Linked DNA regions of Stegostoma tigrinum. The protein of the gene in region 1 interacts with the protein of each later gene in a pairwise test. Links are inferred from orthologs where the notes say so. Each region holds a gene or a part of one and is shown on either strand. Other genes may lie near its edges. The genes, in order: glrx3, mitogen-activated protein kinase-binding protein 1 and trim36.

What was found.
Region 2: the proteins of glrx3 (region 1) and mitogen-activated protein kinase-binding protein 1 interact in binary tests that used the Homo sapiens proteins (3 or more experiments, as listed by UniProt). The two-hybrid records come from large-scale screens. The link is inferred for Stegostoma tigrinum from reciprocal best matches to the Homo sapiens genes GLRX3 and MAPKBP1.
Region 3: the proteins of glrx3 (region 1) and trim36 interact in binary tests that used the Homo sapiens proteins (3 or more experiments, as listed by UniProt). The two-hybrid records come from large-scale screens. The link is inferred for Stegostoma tigrinum from reciprocal best matches to the Homo sapiens genes GLRX3 and TRIM36.

What each region holds. Positions count from the first base shown.
Region 1 is NC_081373.1:35,715,529-35,722,747, forward strand, and holds the start of glrx3 (glutaredoxin 3), read left to right. Parts: upstream 1-4,214; 5' UTR 4,215-4,266; coding exon 4,267-4,328; intron 4,329-7,219. UniProt on the Homo sapiens protein: Together with BOLA2, acts as a cytosolic iron-sulfur (Fe-S) cluster assembly factor that facilitates [2Fe-2S] cluster insertion into a subset of cytosolic proteins.
Region 2 is NC_081363.1:79,942,335-79,949,539, forward strand, and holds the start of mitogen-activated protein kinase-binding protein 1, read left to right. Parts: upstream 1-4,157; 5' UTR 4,158-4,316; coding exon 4,317-4,433; intron 4,434-6,799; exon of another isoform or gene 6,800-6,871; intron 6,872-7,205. UniProt on the Homo sapiens protein: Negative regulator of NOD2 function. It down-regulates NOD2-induced processes such as activation of NF-kappa-B signaling, IL8 secretion and antibacterial response. Involved in JNK signaling pathway.
Region 3 is NC_081356.1:77,617,475-77,624,402, forward strand, and holds the start of trim36 (E3 ubiquitin-protein ligase TRIM36), read left to right. Parts: upstream 1-3,913; 5' UTR 3,914-4,709; coding exon 4,710-4,772; intron 4,773-6,007; coding exon 6,008-6,257; intron 6,258-6,928. UniProt on the Homo sapiens protein: E3 ubiquitin-protein ligase which mediates ubiquitination and subsequent proteasomal degradation of target proteins. Involved in chromosome segregation and cell cycle regulation. May play a role in the acrosome reaction and fertilization.

The DNA.
Region 1 (7,219 bases):
TGGCCTAATTTCTGCTCCTATGTCCTATGGTTTTATGGTAGTGATTGTAAAGATGTCAGCCAGGTGGACATAATAGAATACATGTGAGTTTCCTGATTGGGGCTGTCCCAATCAAGGAGCCCTGACCGACAAATATAAAAAGGAATGTCAGAGGTTCTCTTCGTTCTGAGCTAACTCAGTCACAAAAATTGTCCATGTGCAAATAAAAGGTGACTTGGTGACAGGATAGCGAACTCTGTGGAGTCATTGCATTGACCAGTCTATAATGAGCTCAAAATAACCTGTTTATAGTGAACAAAACTTAAAAGAAGTAGCAACAACTGATCAATACCTAAACTATGATGTGGAATTAAAACCATATCCTCTTTCTCAACATACAAACAGCACAAAAAATGTCTCTGCAGAGAAGATGGGTTTAAGGCAAAATGGGATATATATAACACTCCTCTGGTCAAAAGTCTGAAAACAAAAGGATAAAAAAGCAACAGCATCTCACATTCATTAAAATATCCTACCAATTTTGTCCAGCTTGGATTCCCATTCCACTTGAACTCATCTTGCTGAGAATTTCAGTCCAGGACAGAATTAGTGTCCAAAACCATCAAATTCCCAGAGAAGTCTTCTGAAAGCAGGACTTCAGGAGAGAGACTACAGCTTCCTGGGGGGTGACTTCTTTACTCATTGACTTCAGGGTCATGCAAAACATAGTTCTCAGATCAGGGAAGGTTGCTCGGCAATCATTAATATCCTCTCTTCAAGTAATTTCTAACAGTAATCACAGTGATAAACACTTTCTCATCCTGAAATTGATGCTTATCTGTTTCTCCACAATTATTTGATTTCAGGTGAAAGGAGGAGATGATTTACAGAACACATTGAATTTGACTTCAATAATTAGCTGTGGCTTACAACTCAAGTCCTGCTGAATGAAATTACAAAAGATCAATGATGCTTTTCAGTTCAGAAAGTGTCCAAATAATTTGACCTCTTCCAGCTTATCTCACATAGTCTGTAAATATACATCTGTATTTTCAATATGCCCCCAGTCTTGGGAAAAGAAAGACAATTTCCAAGTAAGCTTTACAATGATGGAGACAGGAAACAGATACAACATAAACACAAAAAGTAGACTTGCATGAAGAAAAATCAGAGTTATCATTTTAATTCCAGTGACCCTTCCTCAGAACTGATAGTTTAAAAGAGGTGAAAATGAGGTTACAAGGTGTAGAGCTGGATGAACACAGCAGGCCAAGCAGCATCAGAGGAACAGGAAAGCTGACGTTTCAGGCCTAGACCCTTCTTCAGAAATGGGGGAGGGGAAGGGTATTCTCAAATAAATAGGGAGAGAGGGGGAGGCGGATCGAAGATGGATAGAGGAGAAGATAGGTGGAGAGGAGACAGACAGGTCAAAGAGGTGGGGATGGAGTCAGTAAAGGAGAGTGTAGGTGGGGAGGTAGAGACGAGATAGGTCAGTCCAGGAAGATGGACAGGTCGAGGGTGGGGGGATGAGGTTAGTAGGTAGGAGATGGGGGTGGCGCTTGAGATGGGAGGAGAGGATAGGTGGGAGGAAGGACATGTTAGGGAGGCGGGGATGAGCTGGGCTGGTTTTGGGATGCAGTAGGGGGAGGGGACATTTTGATGCTTGTGAAGCTTTGAACCGCACCCTTATCTGCTTTCTGGAGGGACCACTCTCTCCATGACTCCCTTGTCCATTCCACACTCCCCTCCAGCCCCGCCACACCCAACACTTTTCCCTGCAACTGTAGGAAGTGCTACACCTACCCCTACACCTCCCTCCTCACTCCCATCCCAGGCCCCAAGAAGACATTCCACATCAAACAGATGTTCACCTGCACATCTGCTAAGGTGATATACTGCATCTGCTGTTACCGTCATGGCCGCCTCTATGTCAGGGAAACCAAGCGGCGGCTTAAGGACTACTTTGCAGAACACCTACGCTCGGTTCGCACTAAACAACTGCACCTCCCAGCCGTGAACCATTTCAACACCAACTCCCATTCCTCAGAAAACATGTCCATCCTGGGCCTCCTGAAGTGCCACAACGATGCTACCCGATGGTTTCAGGAACAAGAACTCATATTTCTCTTGGGAACCCTGCAGACCAATGGTATCAATGTGGACTTCACAAGCTTCAAACTCTCCCCTCCCCCTACCGCATACCAAAATCAGCCCAGCTCGCCCCGCCTCCCTAGCCTGTCCTTCCTCCCACCTATCCCTGTCTGCCACCTCAAGTCCCACCCCCACTCCTACCCACTAAACTCATCCTGCCCCCTTGACCTGTCAGTCCTCTCTGGACTGACCTATCTTTTCCCTCCCTGCCCACACTCTCCTTTTCTGGCTCCATCCCCACCTTGTTGACCTGTCTGTTTCCTCTCCACTTATCTTCCCCTCTATCCATCTTCTATCCGCCTCCCCCTCTCTCCCGATTTATTTCAGTACCCCCTTCCCCTCCCCCACTTCTGAAGAAGGGTCTAGGCCTGAAACATCAGCCTTCCTGCTGCTCTGATGCTGCTTGGCCTGCTGTGTTCATCCAGCTCTACATCTTGTTATCTCAGCTTCTCCAGCGTCTGCATTTCCTACTATCTCTGAAAATGAGATTGCTGTTCTTTCGGTTTGCACTGAGCTTCACTAGAACTCCACTTTAACACACCACCCTGTTTACTGGCCAACAATACCTGAAATGCTAGATAATGAAATGTGAGGCTGGATGAACACAGCAGGCCCAGCAGCATCTCAGGAGCACAAAAGCTGACGTTTCGGGCCTAGACCCTTCATCGGATTTTGTGCTCCTGAGATGCTGCTGGGCCTGCTGTGTTCATCCAGCCTCACATTTCATTATCTTGGATTCTCCAGCATCTGCAGTTCCCATTATCACTAATACCTGAAATGCTGACTGCTCTTTTCCTCTAAATGCTGCCTGGCTGCTATGTTCTTCTAGCTTCTTGTTTGTCTACCTTGTTATCATCTTTACGGTGGCATGGTGGCTCAGTGGTTAGGACTGTTGCCTCACCATGCCATTGACCTGCGTTCAATTCCACCCTCGGGTGACAGTGTGTGTGGAGTTTGTACATTCTCCCCATGTTTGTGTGGGTTTTCTCCAGGTGCTCTAGTTTCCTCCTGCAGTCCAAAAATGCACAGCTTAGGTGGATTGCCTATGCTAAATTGCCCACTGTGTCTAGGGTGGGTTGCTTCTCAGAAGTTCACCGTGGACTTGATGGCCTACCTCCACACTATCGGGATTTACATAGCCTGCCACTACACACTACATATTGTTTGTGACTTACAGTCTCCATCAGCAGGTATTCACTCTCCTAGCCAGATCGTTATCAACTGTTCTGAGGAAGGGTCACCAGATCTGAAATGTAAACTGATTTTTTTTCTCCACAGATGCTGCCAGACCTGCTAAGCTTTTCCAGCAACTTCTGTTTTTGTTCATTATCAACTCCTTTGTCCAACAGTTCTTCTCTCTGGGTTCTATTCCCACCTATCATTTCCTCCCTACCCCTCTCCCCTACCCTATCTTCTACATATAAGCCAACAGTTTCCTAGCTACCATCAGCTCTGCAGACCTGATGAGCTTTTCCAGCAACTTCTGTCTTTTTTCCTGATTTACAGCTTCCACAGTTCTTTCAGTTTGCACAATCATTCAGCTCCAGTTATTCATTGCACAAAACGTATAGCTGTATCACCCTTTAAATCTCCAAACTATTCCACATGATTACCTTTTTCATAGTTATTCTGATAACATGGTGAAGATTGAGGATATAAGATTTTTAATATTTTTATGTTCTTCTCAGGGGTCTTCCATTTAAACTACACCATTGGGTTCACTGGTTACAACTCAGCTCACTACTTTTTTCCAAAGTAACTGGGGAAATTTTAAACTCGAATGGCAAGGTTTCGAATTGGTATTACCCATGTGCTGAAATCAAAGCTGATAAATACTGAGCTCATGATATTAACGGTCCTTTGAATAAATCAATGAATCTCTTTAAAAAAATCCATAAATTTCTTTAATGAGTCAACCTTAGTAAGGAAGCGTAAATGTGTTGCACTGCACACCCTCAAACGAACAAAAAAGGAACTGAAAGGTTGTATGTGTCATACATTGTGAAAAAGTCTTGGCAATGCTGCTTCTTGACAGACTGAAGCTGGGACATGCCTGTAAAAGGCAAAGGGGGCGGGCACTGATCAATCCATCATCACTCGGATCATTCGATGTGCCACTAGTGTGGTCTGCTCATCATGGCGGCGGCGGCCGTTGAGAGTGCGACCCAGTTCCAGGAGGTGCTGGAAAAAGCTAAGAGGTAGGTTCGGGGCCGTGGGGGTGACGTTTGGAGATTTCCCGAAAAACGTGTACACCAGTTCCCCGGGCTGATGGAAGCGGCCTCCTTTCCCCACACCCCCCCGGGGATGGAAAGGCCGGTGTGTGGGCACATTGCTGAGGCCCAAGGAGCTGCTTCCTTCAGCCTTTCCCGTAGAGTTTTCGGGCTGAAGGAAGCCCGGCGGGTTTTCAGTGCGGGATCCGCCCATGGAGCGGTGGAAAGGCACTGGTGGAGAGTCGGGCGGTGAACCTCAGACACACGAAGCTGTTCTCCTGGCGTTGTTGCTGACGGGGGTTGGGCTTGGGGAAGAGGGATTGTGCGAATCGAAAAGAGACGATTCGGTATAATTAACCATGAACTTTTTTTTTGAAAACGTGAGTCGTAAAGAAACTGGCAGTAACTTCCAACCACCTTTGCCTCCATCCGAACACGTTTGACTAGGTGAATTGTTTATGTGGGTGTTATCTCCAGTCAAGGGGTATTTACGCAGACATTGCGATGAGGAAACGGGCTGCTGTATCATTCACTTGTCGTGATTTATTCTGTGTAGGAGTATTAGTGGTCCTGATTCTTGTCATTCCCAAATAACAAGAGAAACAATGATTAGATGCTGCTAAGTTTATATTTACGAATTTTGGGAGGGAAGATGAATGGAGACAAAAGCTGGGATGATACAGTGTGGAGCTGGAGGAACACAGCAGGCCAGGCTGCGTCAGAAGCAAGAAACGTGACGTCTCGGGTTGAGACCGTTCTTCAGAAACGGAGCGGAAGATGGGAGCTCAGAAATATAGATTGAGGAGGGATAGGGTTGGGGATGGTAGGTGGAATGGTGATAGGTGAATGCATGTAGGGAGTGGTGGGGATTGGTCAGTCAGGTGGGAGCGGTGGATAGGAAGGCAAGAAGATGGACAGGTTGTGCCAGGTCAAGGCCTTGGGGATGAGAGGGAACGTTGGACACGAAATGAGGCCAGTGGTGGGGATGTTTTAAAACTGGTAAATCCTTATTTAGGCTGTAGGCTTCTCCAGTTTGTGGGTTTGTGACACTGGAGGGGGCCCAGGATGGACGTATCACCCAGAGAGGGGGAGAGGGAGTTAAAATAGTTGGTGACCAGAAGGTGTTGTCGTTTGTCACAAACAGAGCTCTGCGCTACAATATGGTCTCCAAGCCACCGCTTGGTCACAGTGATGCCACCCACAAACTGGAGGAGCAGCACCTCAAGAGCCTGTAGCCCAATGGCCTAAATGTGGATTTCACCAGTTTCAAAATCTCTTTGCCCCTGGCCTCATCCCATGACCAACCCTCCCTCTCAACCTCGCTTCCTTTACCTGACACAACCTGTCCATCTTCGCTTCCACCTGTCCACCCCTCCTACCTCACTGCCCAATCCAAACCACACTCTGCCTGCATTCACCTATCACCATCCCACCTACCTTACCCAGCCCCACTCCTCCTCTCTCTATTTCTGAGCTCCCTTCCCCACCCCTGTTTCTGAAGAAGGGTCCCAACTGAAACATCAACTTGCCTGCTCCTCTGATGTTGCCTGGCCTGCTGTGTTCCTCCACTTCCACACTGTAATCCCTGACTCCAGCATCTGCAGTTCTTACTATCGCTGGAGAGGAAAGCTAACAGTTTTACAATCCTAGAAAGAACAAGTTCAAGTTCAAGACCTGGTATGACAAAATTACCGAAAACAAGTTGTGCATAATTTGCTAATGTGAGCTTCTGCAATACAGTGTTTTTTGTTTCTTCTGGCTTTGCTTATTCTTTATAAACTTAACATCAGTGGCATGTTTTAGAGACTGTTGGCTTGTTCTGTCACCTGCAGCCAAACTGCTCATAAAGTATTAATCTAGTTAATTTGTAAACAGTATGCACTGAGCAAATTAATACTATTAAAAATGAAATTCATTTATGCACAGATTGCATGAACAACTATTATAATAATCAGCTGGATTTTCTTATCAATCTGTGGCAAGCAGAATATATACTTCAAAATTTGTTGATCAGTCCAGAAACTGAACAGGGTTATATGGTGAAAATCATGGGATGTAGAGAAACTATAAACTTCTTTATCAACAAAATGAAGGTGCATAGAAGAGGAAGAACATTTGCAATGTTATACTTACATCCAGATGCCCCTAAATTGTAAGTTCATTAGAGTCCTCTTAGCATTTCTTTGCAGATCTTAGGATGGTTGAAATTGTTTGCAGGCTACTAGTGATTAGTGAGATCTTTGTGACTGTCAGATTCAGCCACAGTGGGTGGAAGTGAAGATGTAGTTGCTACTGGGGAGAATTGGACCCCGCTGCCTTATCTTTCTTGTTCATACTGGTTATTCACTTAATCTCAGTGTTTATAGTACACCTGATTTGGCATCTCTAGGCATCGTATCCTGTGATCTGAGCTTCCCACTCACGATGGTCGATGTGGAAGGGTAAGGTAGGTGGGATGGTGATAGGTGAATGCAGAAAAACTTCTCAGGGTGTCCCTGAAATGTTTGCCACAAACCTCCACTATTTTGATTAATGGTGGTCAGTTTTCCATGCAGCATGATCTTGATCAGTTGTCATCAAGATGCCGGTGATGTTGGCTATTTCTAGAACTTCAGTGTTTGTGATGCACTCCTACCAGAGGATTTTGAGGATGCTTTGGAGGCAGCCCTGGTGAAAATGTTCTAGAAAACATGTGGAACCATGTGGTGCTGCACGGAAAACCTGCTGAGCTTTTCTGAAGAAGGATCTGGCCCGAAACGTCACCTTTTGAGCTCCTAGAATGCTGCTTGGCCTGCTGTGTTCATCCAGCTCCACACTTTGTTATCTAGGATAACACTTCCAAGTTGGTGAACTGTTTGACAACATTCTGCTTGGTTCCC
Region 2 (7,205 bases), on another chromosome or scaffold:
GGCTGTGTGGTAACAAGGCCTGGTGTGTTGGGTGGGGGGCTGGGACATGGGGGAGTTTAGGCCCTAAACTCTGATATGGTCACAAGATCACAAGCATAATACATGCTGGAGGTGGGGAAACTCTGTGAAGTGTTCAGGGGCTCCTCCTCATCCTGCCCCAGAGGGTAGCATTTTGAAATGTGGCTGAGCCTGGTCCATTTATATGTCCTCCCTTCTATTTGTTGCTGCAGGCAGCTACAGCAGGGGGTGGAGGGTGTGGGGCTCACCCCTGTGACACCATCACTGAACTAGGACATCTCAGTCTTCAGCATTGACCCCACTCACTCATCTCCTTTAAGATAGAATCTTAGCCTGAAACTTGAATTAACCAAGGTTGGGGTAGCAGGAATGCACTAAGTTGAGCTCGGGTTGAATTAATCTGATATTTTCCACTCTCTGGACTCTCTCCAATGTGTCTCAAATTGTATTTGTTAGGCCTATGGGCTGGTTGGAGGGTTGGGGGTGGAGGGAGGTTTAAAACTGTGGCTGTGATCTGTGCTTTAATCAGATCTCTGAGAATCCAACGTTTGATGCTGTAGAGGAAGGGTTTTAGCAATGCTACGGAGCTTGCTGTGTGTGGGCACCTCTGGAATGCATTCATCGAACAAAAAGCACATTTATGGCCAACGTGCTGGATTTTTGTTTGTTGAATTTTGAAGCAATGGAGTACGAGCGTGTGAATATCAACGTGGAATGTGCTGCGTATCAGTTATAGATTTGTACAGCACACAACGAAGCACACAATCACTAATGTTGCCCCCATCAACATTTTGCCCAGTTTTCCGCTAAATCTACTGTCGGTGCTGTTCCATTCACTCTCACAATTGTGGAAGGAACAGGAGTTGACCGTGAATCTCCATGGATCCCCCATCTCTGAGGACTATCCCTCTTTACATAAGAACAGTGTGAATTTACTCTACTAAATAGATTTGGTTGAAGGAGCTTGTGACTCTTTTCTTCAGAGGGGTGACCCAGCAGAAGTCTTCATACCAGCAATCATGAAAATATTCGGCAGCTACGTTTGGAGTACTGCGTACAATTCAAATCGGCCTGCTATAGGAAGAATGCTGTTAAATTAGAATGGGTGCAGAAAATATTTACAAGGATGTTTGGAGAGTTCCAACTCACGTAACTAACCTGTATACTTTTGTAATCAGAGATAATGGGATGAAGGGTCTAGGCCCCAAACGTCAGCTTTTGTGCTCCTGAGATGCTGCTTGGCCTGCTGTGTTCATCCAGCTCCACACTTTGTTATCCCACATACTTTTGTAGACCCCTTCACGACTTGCTTTCTTAAAATCAAATTATCTTCCAAAAAGAAGTGTCAACGTTATTCATTTAAACTAAAACTCATGGTTATAAACATTTAGATTTCCGTCGTTTGCTGTGTGAATAAGTGTCTCCTGGATTTCTGTATTAGATATATTTCTGTTTGTCCCTTTGTGACAATTATCCAGAAAGGTGCCAAAAAGTTTGGGTTTCTCTGCATCCAGTCCTGGCCACCATCGTAACTTTTCGCCAACGTTCTTCTTTGTGGAAAGCCCTGGATGACCCTGGTGGAGTTTAGCCAGTATCTGCTCAGGGCAACTTGCTCCCTGCAATAATGTGTCGCCCTCTTCTGCGGCCCAGTCTCTCCAGGTCCGGAAAGATTTCAGTACTGGTTGTGGTAACCCTTCGGTTTCCCCCGTCACCACCACCACCACCCCCCGCCCACCCCCCCACCCCCCGCTGCTGCTTCAGTTTTGTTGGAACCAGATCCTTCCGTGTCCGAACTCTGGTGTTGTTGGCTGTGACTGGAAGTGTGTGCAGAAGTTGGAAAGCCATGACAGGCTCTTCCAGTGACTGGTGCCACCGGTGGTGTATCTGTCAGTGGGAGATGGCTCAATACATCCACATTCACTACTTGGTCTCCTGGGCTATGTTCTAACTTGTAATTATACACACTTTGTATTAGAGCCCACTGCTGAATTTGTCTTGAAGCTCTGGGTGGCACTGCCTTGCCCCCTTTCAGTAGACCCCCCCCACCAAGCAGGGGTTTGTGGTCCATTATTATGACAAATTTATATCCATAAAGGTATTGGTGGAACTTCCTGACTCCAAACATGACCACCAAACCTTCCTTCTCTATCTGGGTCTATTTAGGCTCTGCATTAGCCAAAGCCCTGGATGGATACTTTATTGGTCTTCCCTCACCATCTAAGAGCTCATACTACCCTAATGCCATATGGGGAAGCATCACATGTCAATACCAGACCTCGCTTGGAATCGCAGTGTGCCAACACCTTAAAGCTATGACTTGGCGAGGCAACCGTTTCCAAGACTGACTCTTTTATAAGAGTTGATGCAAAGTTAAGAGGATGGAAGGTCTGTGTACGTATATATGAACTTTCCATAATAAATCACCAGGCCAGTATAGATGTAAAAACACAGCAGAATCGTGGTTGGGGCAGCACCTTCATGTGTTTAATAGACATAAATTTTCCTGAGGAATTATTTTTATTTCATTTTAATCAGAATCCTGCAAACTCACAGATTTGAAAGGAGCCATTCAGAAGTTCCAGGCACAGTGGAATTCAGTTCCCTGGCAATTCATTCAGAGAATGCTACAACAGGGATTCCATGTCTCCGATCTATTCTTTTAAACTGAATGTAAAGCCTTCTTGACGTGGCCCGCATCAAACACTTCCAAGACAGGTACAGCATGGGAAATGTCTCCCCACATATTTAAATTGCAAGTAAAGCTTCCTTAATACTGTCTGAGATAACTCCACAGAGGCCAGTATCCCATCACCAAGTCACCCTTTACTATCACATAGAGCATCCGTGGCACTGATCCAGCTCCCTCAGAGCCCACCCTCAGAACCGCTGACCCTTCTGTTTATATCTGTCAGCCAGGGCTCCCTGATTGCACCAGATGAGCAGGCCCAATCAGGCAACTTGTATCCTATGAGGGTGCAGATCTTGTTGCAATCATTACAGATTCCTACCACTATTCTGCAGCCAAAGAGACAATGATTTTCATCTGGGGCCCGGAACTTGAAGCAACGATAATTTTCCCAATCCCATGCTGCATCTGTTTGATTCACATAGTACAGTGCTAAACGTAAATGTCCCACTCGGGCTGCAGTTGAATTGAGCACCCAGTTAGATTCAGTTTTGCACAATGTGTATCAGTCAGGGTGTATGTGTATTGTGTATCAGTCGGGGTGTATGTGTAATGTGTATCAGTCGTGGTGTAGGTGTAATGTGTATCAGTCGGGGTGTATGTGTAATGTGTATCAGTCGGAGTGTGTGTGCAATGTGTGTCAGTCGGGGTGTCTGTGTATTGTGTATCAGTCGGAGTGTACGTGTAATGTGTATCAGTCGGGGTGTACATGTAATGTGTATCAGTCGGGGTGTAGGTGTAATGTGTACCAGGTTTGGGTGTATGTGTAATATGTACCAGCCTGAGTGTATGTGTAATGTGTATCAGTCGGAGTGTACGTGTAATGTGTATCAGTCAGGGTGTAGGTGTAATGTGTATCAGTTGGGGTGTAGGTGTAATGTGTGTCAGTCGGGGTGTATGTGTCATGTGTATCAGTTGGAGTGTACGTGTAATGTGTATCAGTCAGGGTGTAGGTGTAATGTGTATCAGTCGGGGTGTAGGTGTAATGTGTATCAGTCGGAGTGTACGTGTAATGTGTATCAGTCGGGGTGTAGGTGTAATGTGTACCAGGTTTGGGTGTATGTGTAATATGTACCAGCCTGAGTGTACGTGTGACCTATTTCTCTGAACTGGCTTTTGTCCCAGTGAGTGGTGCGCAGGGAACGGTGTGTGAAGCCTGTCCCAGTGCCCTCGCTGCCTCTGCGCGCTGTGTAATGTTTGAACATTGACGGAGGGGGCGGTAATCCGTGAGAGATCCGCACAGCGATCGCATAGAGGAGGGGGTGGGGGCTTTAGTGGGAGCTGATCGGCCCGGGTGATTTCGGTGGGAAGGTTTGCGGGGGTGGGGGGGGGGTGGTGGGGGTGGGGGGGAGGGGGTCGGGGCGGTACTTGCGGGCTCTGATCGCTGGGTACGGCTGTTGGGGGGAGGCGGAGTGGGGGGAGGTGATTGTCTGTGCCGGGGTGCGGGGGAGGCTCTCAGCCGGAGCGTCCCGGGGAAAATGCTGCTGGAGAGACGGGCAGAGACAGCGGCAGGGGCTCGGTGATCCCGGCTGGGGAGGTGGTGGGGGGTTGCGCTGCCCGGAGGTAGGTGGCCGGCCGAGGGAGCAGGAGAAGGAAAAGGGCTGAGACAGCCATGGCTGAGCTGGGGACGGCCAACCTCACCACCAGGATCAAGAAGCTGCTCCGCTCCCCGTCCCTCAAGCTGCGGAGGAGCAAACAGCGAACAGCAGGCGGGCAGATCGCCGACAAGGTGAGTGTCCCGGGAGTCCCCCGCCTCGCTGTCACTCTGCCCCTCGGGGTTTGAGGGTTTGGGTGCGGGGGGAAGGCGGGGAATCCTGGCGTACATCCCTCCCGGCCTTTGCACGGCCAGCACCCCCAGCTCTTGCCCGCACCGATGGTGAGCTGCTGCAGCACTTGGCGAGGTGTCCGGGAGAGGGAGAGACAGACACACGCTCCGGGTGGGCTTTGGGAGACGGGGAGGTGGGCGCTGGGGGTAGTGCTCTGCCAAACCTGTGCGCTGCGGTCGACACACACAGACCGCCGCAGGGAGTGGGGGGTGGAGGGGGTGTGGTGTGTGTGTGGGGGTAGGGGCGAATGTGCCTTTTCCCTCCCTGGGGGGGGGCTTTCAGAGGGGGGACATGACCTGTACCTGTACCCCCACCACCCTCCATCCCCGGCTTATCCTTCCATCCCGGGCTTATCCCTCTTTGGATGTTGCCCACTTGCTCCGCGCCCACCTGGCATCTTTCTCCGCAGCTCTCTCCATCCCTTGTGTATCCCAGCCCTGTCTGGAGTGGGTCAGTGTGTATCCCAGCCCATGTCCGGAGGGAGTCAGTGTGAATTCCCACCCCTGTCCAGAGTGGGTCGGTGTGAATTCCCGCCCCTGTCCAGAGTGGGTCGGTGTGTATTCCAGCCCCTCTCCGGAGGGAGTCAGTGTGAATTCCCGCCCCTGTCCAGAGTGGGTCAGTGTGTAGCCCCGCCCCTGTCCGGAGTGGGTCGGTGTGTATTCCAGCCCCTGTCCGGAGTGAGTCAGTGTATATTCCTGCCCCTGTCTGGAGTGGGTCGGTGTGTATTCCCAGCGCCTGTCCGGAGTGAGTCAATGTGTATTCCAGCCCTGTCCGGAGTGGGTCAATGTGTATTCCTGCCCCTGTCTGGAGTGGGTCGGTGTGTATTCCCAGCGCCTGTCCAGAGTGAGTCAATGTGTATTCCAGCCCCTGTCCGGAGTGGGTGGGTGTGTATTCCAGCCTCTTATCCGGTGTGGGTCGGTGTTTAACCCAGCCCCTGTCCGGAGTGGGACGGTGGGTATTCCAGCCCCTTTTCCGGAGTGGGACGGTGGGTATTCTAGCCCCTTTTCCGGAGTGGGTTGGTATGTATTCCTGCTCCGTCCTGAGTGGGTCAGTGTGTATTCCCAGTCCCTGTCCAGAGTGGGTCAGTGTGTATCCCAGCTCCTGTCCGGAGTGGGTCGGTGTGTATTCCAGCCCCTTTTCCAGAGTGGGTCAGTGTGTATTCCAGCCCCTTTTCCGGAGTGGGTCGGTGTGTATCCCAGCCCCTGTCCAGAGTGGGTTGGTGTGTATTCCCAGCCCCTGTCCGGAGTAGTAGGTGTGTATTCCCGCCCCTGTCCGTAGTGGGTCGGTGTGTATTCCCAGCCCCTGTCCAGAGTGGGTTGGTGTGTATTCCCGCCCTGTCCGGAGTAGGTCGGTGTGTATTCCAGCCCCTTTTCCGGAGTGGGTCGGTGTGTATTCCCGCCCTGTCCGGAGTGGGTCAGTGTGTATTCCTACCCCTGTCCGGAGTGGGTCGGTGCGTATCCCAGCGCCTGTCCGGAGTGGATCGTTGTTTATTCCCGCCCCTGTCCGGAGTAGTAGGTGTGTATTCCCAGCCCCTGTCCAGAGTGGGTCAGTGTGTATCCCAGCCCCTGTCCGGAGTGGGTCGGTATGTATTCCCATCCCCTGTACAGAGTGGGTCAGTGTGTATCCCAACCCCTGTCCGGAGTGGGTCGGTGTGTATTCCCATCCCCTGTCCAGAGTGGGTCAGTGTGTATCCCAGCCCCTGTCCGGAGTGAGTCGGTGTGTATTCCCGCCCTGTCTGGTGTGGGTCCATGTGTATCCCAGCCCCACTCCGGAGTCGGTCATTGTGTATTCCCAGCCCCTGTCTGGAGTGGGTCAGTGTGTATTCTAGCCCTGACCAAGCCGTCAGCAAACATTTTAGCTGTGTTTGGAGTGGTCAGCCAGTGTTCTGGGTCTGTCCTGCGTGGCCAGTGCTCTCCCTGCCAATGTCCTGAGTGGTCAGTGCTGTCCCTGCCAATGTCTTGTGTGGTCAGCGCTCACCCGGCCCCTGTCCCAAGTGGTCAGTGTGCCTACGGTCTCAGTTCGTACCCGTTGTGGAAATCGCGGATCTTGATGCCATTACTGTGCACCACCTGTCTGGGTTTCAGATCTCTTCATTGTGTCCTGTGTGCTCGATGTTATTTCGCAGATAAACCTGATGATACTGGTTTCTGGTTTCAATGGAGAGAGCTGCTGCAGGCAGTGGGAACATGCTTGTTACTGATATATCTGAGGCGTCTCCAATGGAGGTCACTCTGGTTCATGAATTGGTCAAACAGGCGTAACATGACGATGCTATATCATCAGACAGTGTGCAAGCGTGAAATTCGTCACCTCAATTTACACTGCTGCTGAATGCAGGCAGGTCAGTCTGTTGCCCCCACGTTCATTCAGTGAAAGTTTTCACGGTGAGCAGGAGACCCATGTGAGATAGAAGTTTAAGACTGGCACTGTCTGTATCATGGTAAATACCTACCTGGCTGGCCTTCGCTGCTGCTGATCTGCTTTGTGAATAAACCTCTCCCTTCCCCGCTCTTCATCCTCACTGCGCTCCCCCCGCCAACCCCAGCAGTGCATCATTGTGGAATATTGGTTGTGCAAGCCAATGATTTCCCTGGGTGCCTCATCATTGCCAGCAGCCTGATGCAGCTCCGTGATCCGCACGTTGTGCAAATTAAAGCCCAGCTTTCTAAAATCCC
Region 3 (6,928 bases), on another chromosome or scaffold:
ATGGCCTTAACATGGAATTTTAAAATCTCCCCAGCCCCGGCGTCATCCCATGTCCAATCCTCGCTCTCACCCTGCCTCCTTGATCTGGCGCAACCTGCTCATCTTCTCTCCCACCTATCTGTTCCTCCCACCCCACTGACCAATCCCCACCACTGACTACCTGCGCTCACTAACCACCATCCCACCTACCTTCCCCAGCCCCACCCCTCCTTTTTCTATTTATTTCTAAGCTCCCTTCCCCCTCCCCATTTCTGAAGAAGGGTGTTGACCAGAAACTGCTGCTCTGATGCTTCCTGGCCTGTTGTGTTCCTCCAGCTCCACACTGTGTTACTTCTGACTCCAGCATCTGCAGTTCTTGCTATCTCTCTTGCCAAAAATTGGTTTCCATTACTTTTCACCATGAACTGCTCCAGTTCCCATCTGGGCAAAGAAAGTAATGGCATAGTAACAAGCATATTTTGGGTGGCATGGTGGCTCAGTGGTTAACAATGCTGCCTCACAGTAGCAGGGACCCAGGTTTGATTCCTGCCTCAGGGAACTTGAGTTTGCACATCCTCCCTCGTGTACAGGCTAGGTGGGTTAGCCATGGGAAATGTAGGATTCCAAGGATGGCTGGGTCTGGATGGGATGGTCTCCAGAGGGTTGGTGTGGACTCAGTGAGCCAAATGGCCTACTTCCACACTGTAGGGATTCTATGTATATTCCTGAAATTAAATCGTGGTTGCATTTTGAGAAGTTCACAATACTATAGCAAATGAAACTTGCGCCATCGGTTGATATGAAATTTTCAGATATACTTTGACAAAAATATAAAATGATGTGTATTTTTAAGTGAGTTGCAATGTAAGCTGGTCATAAGCTTTCCAACAAAAAAAAGTATAACATTTTATCAGGACCTTATAGGCGTGGCTGTTAGGTGAGAACAGTATAACACTGTCTACAGTAGACAAAATGCTTTTTAACTTTATATTAAAATGCTACTGTGGGCATTTAGGCGAGTTACGACACAATTGCTCAATTTTGTTTACTGTGGAAGATGTTCCTACAATTATTAATAAGGCTAGATGTATAAGATTAAAAACTACTTTATAAATGTGCAGTTGTAATAACCAGAACCTTTTTCCTGATGTCACAAGTAATTGACATTGAATATATTGATATGTAACATGGTTTGGAATAAAAAATAAACAAACTAATTTATGAGTTCAAGATTGTTGTCTAAATATAGTACTAAGATGAAATTTTCATATCAACATATCACCCTACAGTCGGAATACTTGTTTCAGCCCTGTCACAGGGACCTTCACATGACACACAAAAAATGAACAACTGCTGTTTTGAAAACCAGCTGGGAAGTTCGGCCAGTGTTCTGGTAAATAGATATCTCGTAACCTGGATTACTTAAAAGATTATCTGGTTGCTATCACATTGATGGCTATGGGCCCTCACTGTCTGCAAACTTATTGCCATGTCTCCTACATTACTGCAATGGCTACACTTTTAAGAAGTTTTTATTAGTTTTAAGACATTTTGGGATGTCAGTCGGTTACAAGAGGTGCCTTTTCAATGGAAGATATGCATATACCAGATCTGTACATGTATTCACACAGTCAATAGCCAGCATCAACCTTGAAGAAAGAAAAACTTGAAGTTATAGAGGACCTTTAACCATCTCGGGATATCACAAAGTGTTTTCCAGCCAACTGAGTACTTTAAAATTGTAGTTTCTGCTGTAATTTAGGGGAAGCATAGCAGCCAGTTAGCAAAGTGTTCACCAACAGCAGCACCACGCACACCTCAGCAGCACAGGGACAATTTGTAAAGTGTAAAGAAGGCATCAGCTAGTTTACAGGCTATTCCAGCTCTAATGCTAACATCATCTTATACTTGAGCGGACATCATGTGTTTGGATTTCCAAAAATCCTATGGAAGGCAGTGTGGAGCTGAAATTGATGCACTGTTCTGGTGGAGGGTGTGACGGTGAATAGAGTCCAATTGATTTACTACAGCTCAGTCATCACCGGAGATTAGTGACATCAGGGTCTCTCTGACAGCAGAGAAGGGGAAGTTTGATAGAAGCCAAAATCATGAAGAGCTCTGACACAGGAATGAAAGTGAAGCAGTTTACAATGGCAGAAGTGTAAGACAGCGGGAACGGGTATGTGAGGTAATTGGCAAAAGACCCAGAGCTGACATGAGGAAAGAATGATTTAGGAATGAGTTTTTATGATCTAGAATTCACTGTCTGAAATGTTGGTCGAAGCATATTCATTCTTTTTTACCAAAAGAATTGTTTGAATGGGTCAGATTTGTAGGGTTTCAGGGAAAGAGCAGAGGGCCTGGGAAATTATCCTCAAGGGCGTGCATAAAGACGATGGGCGGAACTGCCTCCCTCTGCACCATATTATCTTGTGATTCTATGATGGTGCTCGGAGCGTTTGCCAATATTAAGTGACCAACATGGGAAAACTAAACGTTAAATAAACTATTTCCAATCCGTTCTGTTGGAGCCATGACCTTAAATCGATAACTTTAAAGAAATGACGGGGTGGGCGGGGTCACTGAGCGAAGGACTGTCTAATCTTAAGCCACTTGGTGTTTGAAAATTGTTAACATTGTAAACAAAAAATGAAAACAAACTATACGATTATTTGACAATTTCGCTGGGTTGTAAAACAGAGTTCAGGTTTATAATGAATACAAGTGCATGCTGGGCGCAACGGGCCGGCGATTATCAGCGTGCCGAAGTGTGCATAGTGGGAATAAAGCCAGTGCAGGAACGCCCAAGATTAAGATCCCAGGATCAAATGTCTTATTGCATTGTGTCTTTGTTTAGTACTGGGCTCCGTCTGGAATGCTTAGGGAAAACAGGCTGCAATAAGTGGCGGTGTTGAAATGTGAATGAAATATTAACTTTAGACACAGCGTAAATGTGGCCGGGCAGCGCCGCCGGCTTGGACTGCGACAGAAATAGACGGCGGCTGTGGATTTGAGCAAACACACCCGCAATCTCTGTGCACTTGATGCTAAAGCCAGGTTGTGCTTCGTGCCCGAGCAGCCGCCTCCGATAGGAGCTCACCTGCCCTCAGCATTCCCCGTGAGATCGCGGTTTCAGTTCGGCAGCTCGGATCCGGCTCCGCACCCAGATCGCTTGGAGCGAATCCGAATCCAACCCTAACCCTGTCAGAACGGGAAACGTGGCTCCCACGGTGACCGCTCCCTGCCCCTTGGGGGCAAATGGCTTTACGTAGACTGTGCATCCAGAATCTTTTCTGGGACACGGGTGGTTAACCTGGTGCTGGGGGTGGGGGGGGGGGTAATCCAGACTCTGAGGGTGGGGTGTTAATCCTGTCTCTGGGGTTGGAGGGGGTTAATCCTGTCTCTGAGGATGGGACGTTAATCGTATCTCTGGGGGTGGAGGGGGGTTAGTCCTGTCTCGAGGATGGGCGAGGTTAATCCTTGCTCTGAGGGTGGGGGGGGGGTGTTAATCCTGGCCCTGGGGGTGGGGGGTTAATCCTGCCTCTGGGGGTCGGGGGTGTTAATCCTGTCTCGGGGGTGGAGGAGGTTAATCCCGTCTCTGGGGGGGAATGAGGGGGTAATCCTGGTGCTGGGGATGGGGGGTGTTAATCCTGTCTCTGTGGGTGGGAGAGGCTAATCCTGGCCCTGGGCGTGGGGGGTTAATCCTGGCTCTGGGGGCGGGGGGTTAGTCCTGTCTCGGGAGTGGGGGAGGTTAATCCTGGCTCTGGGGGCGATAATTCTGGTGCTGGGGGTGGAGGGGGTTAATCGTGTCTCTGAGGGTAGGGAGGTAGTCCTGTCTCTGGGGGTGGGGGGTTGTTAATCCTGTCTCTGGGGGTGGGGAGGAGTTAATCGTATCTCCTGGAGTGGGGAGGGGGGGCGGTGGAGGTGGATTTCTCGGTGCTCCGTGGCTGTGCTGTGGGAAATCTGGGCGAGGCTGTGCCGCTGAGATACACAGCTCAGCAGGCTGGAAATGAACGGATCAGCGAATCGCTAAACCTTCTCAACCTGCCCCTGGTAGACTGTAACTAAACCTCTCACAAAGGTACATTGTCCTCCTGTTTGTCTCCTATTCAATGTGTCTGACTTCGAGCAGCCCACCTTGGCTGCAGTTTTCACACCGAGATACTGCGTGCACTCCACTCTCTCCGCTGTTTAACCCCGATGGGAAAGCGGGGAGAGCTCCATTCCATTTGAATACTTCCTGCTGTAATATCCTGAAAAGCCTCTGTGAGTTACATCCGTTCCTGGTGCTATCTGCGGTCCTGAACCCAGGGCATGAAATTTACAGTGGTCCTGAAATTGGGGTTTTAATTACTTTCAGTCTATTTGAAGGTGACCATAGGTGCGGGGCACTGCTGATGGTTCCCCTGAAAGCCTTGAGAGACAGAGCTCTGTGCTAAACCCATTAGTCTAATGCTGCCATCTGTTAGCACAAGTGTTAGCGAGTGAGTGAGCAGCGGATGTTAGCCGTCATTCCGCCGGTTGGTTCGGGAATATCTCCATACCCCGCCCTCGGCGGTCACCCTGGGGCGGGGTTTTACATTCAGGGAAGTGCTGGAGTTGAGGCCGAGCTAAGGATTTCGGGGCGGTTTCAGTAGGTGCTCGGAGCTCAGCAACCTGACTGTTCCCCGGCTCCATCGACTTCATCTCCGACTGGCTTCTGTCCAGGAAAGTGCCTTTAACCAAGCAGCATGTCCGATTCTGATGATATCAGTGAGTTTGGATTCATCGTTGACAGGATCTCCAGAGGCGAGGTAGGTGGGATAACAGCACAGCCTCACTCCATCCAAACCTGTTTTTAGTGAACACAGTCAATGAGCCCCGTCTTTCTCCTTCAAGCTGCGAGGCGCTGGTCCCAGCTTTCTCTCTCTCTCTCTCTCTCTCTCTCACACACACACACACGCTCACAGTCTGGCTCTGGGCTGCTCCTCCCTGGCGGCTCTTGACTGAATGAGTCCCCTTCTCATGTCCGCTTTAATCCCACCGGACTGTATTAGCCTCTGCATTTCATCTCATCCCAGTTACTTCCAGCATCAGTGCCGAACCTGATCTGAACCCTCTGATCTGTCACATCGAGCCGATCCTAAGACAGGCACCTGTATTACTGACTACAGCTTTATGTTCACAGTTTCCAACGGTTCCATGGCCAACTTTCCTTCAGCTCAGTTTTCTGTTCTGATAAGATTGCTTGCTAATCAGATCCGGTGTCCTTCCCATTTCCATCACGCCTGTGACAGGTCTACTAACTGTGTGAACCGTGTCGGTGAAAAGGCGTAAATATATCAGTAGTAACTTCCTGCGGTGGAGTATGGTAAAATGTTTACAGAACCGACAACACACACACAGACACGCATTTACACCAACACACACACATACACACACCGCACACTTACTCATACACACTTACACACAGACACCACACAATTACACCGAAACACCGCACACCACACACAGATACACACACAAAGACACACACACATAGACAGCACCACACAGACACAAAGGCAGATTCATCACATACACACCGAGACCGAGGCACATATACTCACGCACATACACGCAGACACAAATGACTAATCTCATTCAGACACATAAGACTCACAAACCGGACTCCGGGACTATCTGTCTCTGTATTGAACAAACTCGCTCTGAGTGGGATTAGTTTCTCATCGCCCTGCTCTCCGTCCAGCAGCCACATATTGATCATTTCTCACTCTTTCAGCACTTGATAGTGGGAAATATTTGTAACTGTTTCGTCTTGCCGTCATGCTCAGCACAGATCGGATCATTTCTCAATACCTTGCTTATTTCTGTAATATGTGATCCACATTTTTTAAAGAAACGTTTCTATATATTGAAGAATTGACGTGAGTGTTACCTGTGTAAATAATCGTCCGGAGCTTTCAGCAGGTTTTCATATGAGAATGCCTGGGGTTTGGTTGTTTAGAAGCAGCGCAGGGCTTGGATAATTCTCTCCCTTTTCTTGCAGGTTCCCATTAAAAACATAGAGCGGGAATTGATCTGCCCGTGCTGTAAGGAGCTCTTCACTCACCCCCTGATCCTTCCCTGCCAGCACAGTGTCTGCCACAAATGCGCCAAAGAGTTGCTGCTGTTCCGGGACGATGCGGCCACCGAGCTGGACTCGGAGTTCTCCAATCCGGCCACACCAGTCAGCAGCCCCCGGAGCCGCCGCCTCTCCTCGGCCAGTGTCGAGAGGCTCGATAGACTCACTAGGACAGGTAGGTGCCAATCTCAGGCGTGACCCACATCAACAGCTCCCACCTGTGGGCGTTTGCTGGCCAGGGATGGGAAACACTCCATCGGCCGACCTGTTGAGTGTTTCCAACAATTTTTGTTTTACTTTTGCCTTAGAATTCCAGCTTCTGCAGCTTTCTATTTTGCAAAACAAAACGAATTACAGGGTGAGGCCCCAATCTGCTCTTAAGGAGAGCGGTACAGGGTCATCAGAAACTCGTGAGCCTGCTCCGTGCTAGGCAAAAATGTAAACAGTTATTATACTGCTAGCACAGTCTGTATATTCACACGCTACATAAAACTAGACTGGTCGGGAGGCTCCTAGTGTGGTCTTCATTTTAGTCCTCACCATTGGGGCTGTAAAGCTTAATTGAAGAGAACAGGTTGCATAGACCAGTGTTATATTCCAGTAATTATCCAACATTGAGGGTGATCTGAGGTGTTAAAGATGATTTGAAGGATTTAAGGTAACAGACAAATAAACTATTTCCCACATGTGAAGATAATAACAGAAGTTAAAAGCAAGACCATAAAATGAGACTTAGGGGTACTGCCAGGTAACATTTCTTAACACAAAGGGCATTGGAAATCAGAAATTCTTTCCATTGGAAGGGCTCTCAATGCTAAGTTAATTGATCATTTCAAAACTGAGGTT